Linked DNA regions of Danio rerio. The protein of the gene in region 2 binds, or shares a complex with, the protein of the main gene of each other region. Links are inferred from orthologs where the notes say so. Each region holds a gene or a part of one and is shown on either strand. Other genes may lie near its edges.

The links.
Region 1: the proteins of oprm1 (region 2) and pomca are in contact, whole or in part, in a cryo-EM structure (PDB 8F7Q), measured with the Homo sapiens proteins. The link is inferred for Danio rerio from reciprocal best matches to the Homo sapiens genes OPRM1 and POMC. Residues at the interface, in NP_000905.3 of Homo sapiens: Ser66, Met67, Ala70, Ile71, Met74, Gln126, Asn129, Tyr130, Leu131, Met132, Gly133, Trp135, Val145, Ile146, Asp149, Tyr150, Met153, Arg213, Ile217, Asp218, Cys219, Thr220, Glu231, Lys235, Val238, Ile298, Val302, Lys305, Trp320, Ile324; in NP_000930.1 of Homo sapiens: Tyr237, Gly238, Gly239, Phe240, Met241, Thr242, Ser243, Glu244, Lys245, Thr248, Pro249, Leu250, Val251, Leu253.

What each region holds. Positions count from the first base shown.
Region 1 is NC_133192.1:34,930,933-34,935,469, reverse strand, and holds the start of pomca (proopiomelanocortin a precursor), read right to left. Parts: upstream 2,849-4,537; 5' UTR 2,612-2,848; intron 2,273-2,611; 5' UTR 2,271-2,272; coding exon 2,133-2,270; intron 611-2,132; coding exon 80-610; 3' UTR 1-79.
Region 2 is NC_133188.1:27,027,384-27,032,001, reverse strand, and holds the start of oprm1 (mu-type opioid receptor), read right to left. Parts: upstream 3,029-4,618; 5' UTR 2,915-3,028; coding exon 2,655-2,914; intron 1-2,654. UniProt on the Homo sapiens protein: Receptor for endogenous opioids such as beta-endorphin and endomorphin. Receptor for natural and synthetic opioids including morphine, heroin, DAMGO, fentanyl, etorphine, buprenorphin and methadone.

The DNA.
Region 1 (4,537 bases), on a different chromosome or scaffold from region 2:
ACCTCTCATCCAGAAGTTTGCTGGGAAGAAAGTATATTCAAAACATCCCCCTATAACAACCTCTCCCCCTTAAAGCCACTCACTCATCCTTCCTCGGTTGGTCTTTATGCATTACGTTTTTGAAGAGTGTGAGCAGTGGTTTCTGAGCACGCTCGTCCCAGGACTTCATGAAGCCTCCATAGCGCTTGCTAGCCGGCGGGACGCTCCAGCGGAAATGGGTCATTTTGTAGGGGGGGTCCTTCTTCCCCAGTGGGTTTAAAGGCATCTCTTCTTGCGGATAGTCGACCTCGTTATTTGCCAGCTCGCGTCTCATCTCTGCCGGAAGCGTTTCGGCGGATTCCTCTTCCACGCCGTTCGTGTACACCTTGATGGGTCTGCGTTTGCGGCCGACCGGTTTGCCCCACCGGAAGTGCTCCATGGAGTAGGAGCGCTTGTGGTCGTGTCGAGGGCCGGACTCCGGCTCTATCTGTTCAGGGGCTGCGAGTGCTACAGGGGAAAGGTGTGCGAGGAGGTCGATTTGCTCCGGCTCGGAGGGAGGCTGTAGATGGCTTTCTCCAGGGTAGACGGGGGTTTCATCTGTAAGTTCAGACCTGCATAATTGTATGCATTCCTTAAGAGGAGAAAATAATACAGTTAAAAAACAAAACACGTGGTTTAATATGTTGGCATTATGTGAGGTTTTATAATTGTGATTGGAAAGAAAATCCTGCACAATTGTGGCTTTCAAAAACAAATGTCAAAAAAGAATTTTATTTAAATTTTTGTGAACATTCTTAAAAATGTCATAGGCTATTTTATATTGTTCAGAATAAAGAAACATTACTGGTGTAGAGTAGGAATAAGACAATAACCGGCTTAAAGGTTTACTGTGGTTTGGAAGAGTCAAGGTATTAAAATCGCAAAAATGTTTTGTTAAACTTTTTGTTAATGTAAAGGTTATTTTTAGGTGTTTTTATGTGTTGTAAGGAAATCTGTGTTTTTGAAGCCAATGAAGATAGTATATAGTCAATGGTTTATTGTAGTAGCCTGACATGTTTACTGTTCCAAAATAGTATAAATGGTTCCTAAAATGTATTGTGTTAAATGGGAAAAAAGTTGTTATTTCTAAAGAAAATGTTTGAAAAGAACAAATTTTATAGCAGTAAATACAATACTGTAATACAGTGAAACTTATATTTATATCCAGCCATGATACCATGATAATTTTTATCCAAGGTTATCAAATCAAAAATGTATACCAGCCATATAATATTCTGCTATAATATTGATTATATCAATTTAATAATGACAAGACTTTTGAAGAGTAAATGCTGTACCTGGAAGAAAAAAAAGAAGTCAAATTATTTATAAAATGTGAAACTGGGCCACAAAACCAAATCTAATGTAAGTATAGTTTGGCAATGGCAAAATATGTCTATGGTCAAAATTGTAGATATACCGTTTCATTAAGTTATTTTATCAATTTCCTACACTCTCAGAAATAAAAGTACAGGAGCTGGCACCGGGGCAGCACATTTTCTAAAGATACATATTTGTACCTGAAGGGTCCATAATGGTACCTCGAAGGTACTTTATAGGTACATTTGGGGAACTAAAATGCACCTTTGAGGTACCACTGTGGACTCTTTGGGTACAAATATGTATCTTCAGAAAAGGTACTGCCCCAGTGACAGCTCCTGTACCTTTATTTCTGAGAGTGTACTTAAAATATATCAAAACTCAATTTTAATATTTTTTTTTTCTGTATTTTAATCCACAAGATTCCAGATTTTCAAATAGTTGTTTCTGAGCCAAATATTATATACCTATGTTAATGACTGGTTTTAAAGTCTATGGTCACAAATGATCAACTAAAAAAAAAAAAGAAAAGAAAACAAACAAAAAAAAAGCCAAAAGTTCAGCCCCAAAACAAGTCTGTTCAACCATTTAATCAACAAAATATTAAGCAATTATTATTTTAATGATAGTTGCCCAACAGACATTTTTACTGATTATAACTCTGCACTTACTGTACACGTCTAATTTTCTAATGGGAGTTACTTACAATGTAACTTACAGAGCACAGAACATCTAAAATAATAATAGTAAAGGATCAGCAATTAATCTAAGCCGTGACGAATCCAGCAACTCACCAAGATGTTCTCCTCTGTGCTGAGGTCTCGACAGCGGGCATTTTCCCAACACTGAGCTCTGACTTCAGATCCTCCTGCGCAGAGAACAGCCAGAGCCAAGAGCCAAGCAGGACACAACATCCTCACTCCCCTCACCATCTCTGAGAACACAATACAATTCACATTTAAGCATGTTAAATTCATATTGTAGACTCTCAAAACACATTTGTTTGCACACTACAGTTGAAAGAACAGTTGGAAAGTATGAAATAATACTTCAAAGTAATAAAATACATCAATTAAATGAATTATCTGATATGCAAAAAAGACAAATCAATAAAAAATCTGTTAGTTTTAACTCAACATTTGAATCAAATAACCCAATAGTTCAGTTACAAATCCCAACTGTTCAGTTTGTCCAATCCCAACTGTTCAGTTTGTCCAATTTTTTGAAGAAAACAATCCAGATTATTTTAGTGTATGGGATATTTTTCACCCACCTTTTGCACAGAAAGAAGTCAGTAACCAAAGTTGTTCTCTCTGAGAGTCTCGGATGTGTCTGGTTGTCTTTGCGTTTGCTCGTCTCTGATGTCTGAGACCCCCCAATCGTCTTTTATAAGCTATCTGTGCGTCAATTCCTCAAGGTCACCAAACTCTGTGACTTTTAATGGGTTGTGCAGGTAGGAAACCCACCGGCATCATCTATGGCAGGGATGAGTAATGAATCAACTGTTGTCAGTCAACAGCGAAGAGTCAGATGTGAATGAGTGCAGGATTAGTACGGGATTCTTATTCAGTCTGGCTAACTAAATGATGATGGTTTTTCTCATTATGTTTAAGGGCAGATGTGTCAGTTTACAGGAGTTTGGTGATTAAGGATTTAAACTCACTTCAAATCAATTACAGAGCATGTTTTGTGCTGTGTAAGGGCACACAGGTGCTAAGCCTGTATTGAAATTGGTTGGAAGGTGAAGGATTTGAAGACGGAAGCCATCTGGATGCGTTTACAGAACAAAAGATCATGTTAACATGGTTTGATAGGAGCTCAGGTTAAGGAGAAAATATAAAATTTTGGTATATCTACTTTAATTTTTACAAATATATTAAACGGGGGACACAAAACCATAAGTCTCAAAAATTGAGGTCTTAAAGCAGAATAAAAAAGCTTTAAATTGATGTATGGTTTGTTATGATAGGATAATATTTGTTGAAGATGCAACTATTTAAAAATAGAAATTTGAGAGAATCTGAGAAAATCGTCTTTAAATTTGTCTTAAGTTCTTAGCAATGCATATTACTAATCAAACATTGTTTTAATATATTTACAGTAGCAAAATGTACTAAATCTTTACCTAATATTCTAAAAAAAAAATTGGCAAAAGAGAAAAATCAGCAATTTTGACCCATACAATTTGTTTGTTATTGCCAATAATATACCCAAGACTGGTCCAGGGTCAGTGGTGGTAAGAGTACTGAAAAATCATACTCAAGTAAAAAGTACCATTACTTGCCCAAAAATGTAGTGCAGGTAGAGTAAAAGTATCAGTTGTAAATATTACTCTAAGTATGAGTAAAATGCAACCCTTTCAAAAGTATTCATGAGTAGTGAGTATTACGCTGTAAAAAAACTAATGCATTTACATGTAGTTTGTGGATGTGTGTGTAAACGAAACATTCTGTAGTGCATTTAGTTATTGTTTAGGGACATTTCAGCCACCATACAGTTAAATCGCCAACCTGATTTTACCAAGTACATGTTCCTAGATTAGCATATTTGTTGATCCTGGAACATCATTCCATTTAGCCCAAAATTAAGGGATACATTTATCGTTTATGTTACGTTTAGGCTTACTTAGGTTTATGCACTTCTACATTGTGATCCAAGTATTATTCCCCTCTGAATAGTCATGGTTAGGTTTAGGAGTAGGGATTAGGTGGATTACATTTTCCAACAAAAATTATGTTCCAGGAACAACATAATAGATGTTAATCCAGGATCACATTGTACATCGGCAAATTATTACATGCTACAGTAAAGATCCGCCATCTTCTTATCAATGACATGCATCTAAACAGTCTCTGGGTCATTGAGTGTAAAGATTTTGGACATATTCTTGGATGCTTTTAACGCTTCCAAACAGTTTGCTGCATTTATAATTTGCCCATGTCTTGAGGTTGTTCAGTATGGTGCGATTTACTTTCTATGTGCGATTTGATTGGACAGGAATCACAGGACTGATTTTTCTAATCCCCAAAGACAAGAAAAGAAAAAAAAAAGAAGTAGTGACTGGAGGTTGAAGGAACTTAGTGGAACAAAAGAACCCATACAGCACTTAAAATGTACTGTGTGAAAGTTGAAGTACACAATTTTTAAAACTACTTAGTAAATTACATTTTAAAAAAAAAAAAAACTACTCAATTACAGT
Region 2 (4,618 bases):
TATCAATATGACAAACATATGTGAATGACCTGCAGTAATGTAAAAGTAATAAAAGAAGTATTGTTCTTAATATCGTTGGCATAACAAGTAAACTAATATAGTATCACTTTTTAATGGACTAAGAAGTAACGAGTAACGCATCATGAAAATATGACTGTTTTGATTCATTGCAACAATTTTCATTCCATAAGCAAATCTTCAGTCAGGATTTATAAAGCTATAAAAAGAAAAATCAGGTCTGTTGCCCTCTATGTCCCTCATGTTATTTCAACTCCTGCATGACTTTTTTTTTGTTAAACGCTAAATGATCCACTGACTTTCAATGAACATGCAAAAAATATCTGAATTATTCCCTTTTGACCATATGCTCACTTTAAGGTTCCTGGATTTAAATATGTGGGTAAATCTCATCAATGATCCATTTGTGTGTGTGAAAAAAATAAATAAATAAAATAAAAAACTAAAGAACATTGAATTATTGCCTAATTTCAAAATGGCTGTCACGTCATGTAACAGAGGAGTAAACCACTCAAAGACTTGGGAGGTGAACTAATCATTTCTGTTTCAAGTACAGAAATGCATGAGAGGAAACATGTTAATGTAGTTTTAAATCAACTTATGTCATTTCTCACCATTTTTTATTTCTCTCAAGGCTCATTTTATTACCACATGATGGAGGTCGATAAGCTAATCTGCATTGGCTCATTTATCACACATGTAGATTGCAGTACTGGGCAATAGCTGTCTATGATTCCTACTTTAGGCAGCTGCCTCTAAAACTGTGATTGGTTGCTCATAAATGTTTGGAAAACGCTGAGTCTTCAGAAGGCAAAGAAAATCATGCAGCCTTTTGCAGAGGACAATGCTTTGACAATTAAATACAAACTTATTGATCCCAGTATGTCTTGAAGCCTTTCAAATCTGATGAGCAAATAGTATTGTTTAAGAAATGGATATTAAAGATTCATTCAACCTCTTAGACTCAGCATTTCTGACTTAATTTGCGATTGATCTGAACTAAACTGCTGCCTATTTAAGACAAATAAGCCCCCACATCCTCATTGAAATCCAGTCACCTCTGTTTAATTAGTGTATTGATTGCATCCTTGCCTGACACATGTTACTGTGATTGTAGGTTCACAGGATCAGGTCAGATGTGTTTGTCATGCATGTGTCTGGTTTAAAGAGGCAAGCCACAGAAAGAAATCTGAATAATTTCAGTTGACAACTGTGAAATGTACTTGTTGGGGAAACACCATAGGCTTCGTACAAACACAGTGTAAAAAAAAAGGCTAAAATCCGGAGGAAACCCACGCGAAGGCAGGGAGAGCATGCAAACTACACAGAGAAATGCCAACTGAGCCGAGGTTCAAACCAGCGACCTTCTTGCTGTGAGGCGACAGCACTTCTGCGCCAATGCCTCGCCACACCATTTCCATAAGGGGAAAAATTAACTCACATTCCCAATATTTACTGCATGACATCATATTTAATTTAAATAATTGTTACTTGGATCATATAATAAATTGAAATAATAAATAATTTTAAGTGGATAAGTTATTTATGATTATGTACATTTGGGTTTGTTACATGTTTATTACATAGAGATTGTTATTGCAAAGTTTATTTGTGTCGCTTCTATACATACATAATATGTTTTTCAGTTTGGGAACTTTAATCCTTCATGACTTTTATTTTAGCACTTAAGTTATCATGGTGTAGTGGTATTAATTGTGCAAAACATATTTTAGTTGCAGTGTTTGTTGTTGGGTTTACAATGTGTTTGTGTGTATTGGGTTTTCACCCCACTCTTGTACATGTAGGCCTCCAGGTAATCAATGGTTTTACATCTATTTTGTTTTTACAAAAGCATCCAGGCAACCACAACTTTTCTAAAACAATGCATCTTTTTACATCGCAGATAACTTCATCTAATTTGCTTACAGTATCTATCTATCTCGATCTGTCTGCCCCTCTGTCTGTATAGGCCATCTCTAGTCTTTTTTTTTTTTTTTTTTTTTTTTAAGTAGGCTATTCCAATTCATTTTTGTGCCCATCTCTGATTATGAGCCATTCACTTTGTGCTGCATTTCAGTATCGATTATTCATGCAAAGCACCCGCCCAGTTGTTCATTGAACTGTCGTTCTTTTTCTTCAAAAAATAAGTGCATCTCTATTTAGCGGCACTTCTGATTAGCAAAATATGCGGTGTTACACCGCATCAGATGAAGTGTGAAATCAATGTGAACGAAACAATGCAATGTTTTTCTCCAATACGCTGACAGGAACATCGGAAACGCGTACACACACTCAGTGGAGAAGAGACACATTTCTGAGCTGTAAATCGTTAATATTATTTTATAAATGAAAAGCAAGCATAAGCATAAATAAACTACAACAGTAAAACATTATTTTATTCTATTATTAACAGGCCGTCTTTAGTGATTGAATGACTGCAAAAAAGGGAGTTTCTGCAATGCCGACTTCTATTACCAGAAAACAATCAGCACCTCTTTCAACAGGTCCCTTTTAAAAAGCAACAACTATCATATTGCATAAAGAAAAACTATCACCTAAAATGTCTATTTAAAGGAAGCAAAACAACTCTAATATCTTATGCATCGTAATACATTCCCCTACATGTCTTCTCTTACCTTATAATAACATACATGACGAGGACGTTTCCCACCAGTCCCATCACACACACTATAGAGTATAAGGCAGTGATGATGATGGCCACAATCACTGGAGTTGAGCTTTTGTCCAGCTCTGGCGTCCTGTCACATACGGAGCTGTTCATGTTCACGAGACCGGAGCTGTTGCTGAAGTTTCGGCAGAATATGCTGCTATTCGACACCATTGGGTTGGAAAGCGCGTACAGAAGGTCCGAAATGTTGCCGGTGTTTTCCATCATGGCAAGTGCCGTTCGGGTGATATTCGCCCAAGTTCTGCACGCGCGCGCTGTTTATCAATCACGCTCACAGATATCGATACCTGTCCGCTTCAAAACACTCAACGAGTCCCAACCGATCAACCGAGGCAGTCTAATGTTGCTCCCGCCGCTGCTGCCACAAGTATAGTAGTCTCTTTTGTTTACGAGACTCTATGATAAATCTATCCCCGCAGTTCTTGCATTACCCTCGTGAAATTGTATCGAGCGTCGCATTTTATTCAACAAAATGACGTCACGTATATATGCACATGACTAGAGGCTTTTCGGCAGTCCGGTGGTTCCAGCTCGTCACTTTCTCATCGTCGAAGAGATGTATGAATTTACAATCGCTCATCCTCATCTCTCCAGCTGAATTTATGGCTTGATTTTATATTTACCGAATGCAAAAAGGGAAGTCTGACTTCACTAATTAGGCTTTAACTCCACGAAAGGAGGTCAAAACTAAAGATTGGTGGTCCTGAAAGTATGTTCTCAGTGTAGTATTTTAACTGGGGTTTAAATGTTCAGAAACATCGAAAGTATATAGACAAAACTTAATGGAAGCGCATGTTTTGACTAGGAGATACACAGAAAAATGGTTTGTCAGAGGTAACCATGGCAACAGCTGAACGCTTGGACTTTTTCTCCCATTTAGAATGAAATATTGAGCTGTGTTACTATTTATATTATAGAGATATTATTATCATTATTTAAATATCATTATGTATTTTTGATATTTTGAGCTCACAGAGCCTAAATAATGAAGTAATAATGAGCACACTTTGTAAAGCTGCTTAAATGATATTTATTGTTAAGAGCCATATACAAATAAGCATGCATTTAATAAATGTATTCTAAATGTACACTATCAAAGTATCATATTTTATTACAAATCAGGTTTTCTTGTTCAAGTTAAGCATAAAAGGCTGCTAAATAATTTGTTCATTATGCGAGTATCCATTTTAGGTTTGAATGTGGTGGGTTATTTCTCCTTAGAGCAGTATGGCTGATGTTTACTCTTGCTATTAGGATCCATTTAAATTGTTGCCTATATGACATTTAAGGTTCAGTATTGTAAAATAATAAAAAAATAAGACCTTATACAGTGCAGGAAAAGGGTCAACGCTTGCTTAAAGTTACATTTATTTATTCATTCATTTTCTTTTCGGCTTAGTCCCTTTATAAATCTGGGGTCGCCACAGTGGAATGAACCACCAATTTTTTCTCAACATATGTTTTTACGCAGCGCATGCCCTTCCAGCTGCAACCCATCTCTGGAAAACATCTATACACACTCATTCACACCCATAATACAGCCAATTTAGCGTACCCAATTCACCTGTACCACATGTCTTTGAACTGTGGGGGTAACCGGAGCACCTGGAGGAAACCCACATGAACGTAGGGACAACATGCAAACTCCACACAGAAGTGCCAACTGACCCAGCCGAGGCTCCAACCAGCGACCTTCTTGCTGTGAGGCGACAGCACTACCTTCTGCACCACTGCGTCGCCCTAAATTCACATTTAATATATTTTAATTATTTACATTATTTACATTATGCAACAACTAACAGTCATTCATTCATGTTCTTTTGGCTTAGTCTCTTTATTTACTTGGGTTCGCTACAGTGAAATGAACTGCCAACCTATTCAGCAGTCTTTAACACAGCGGATGCCGCTCCA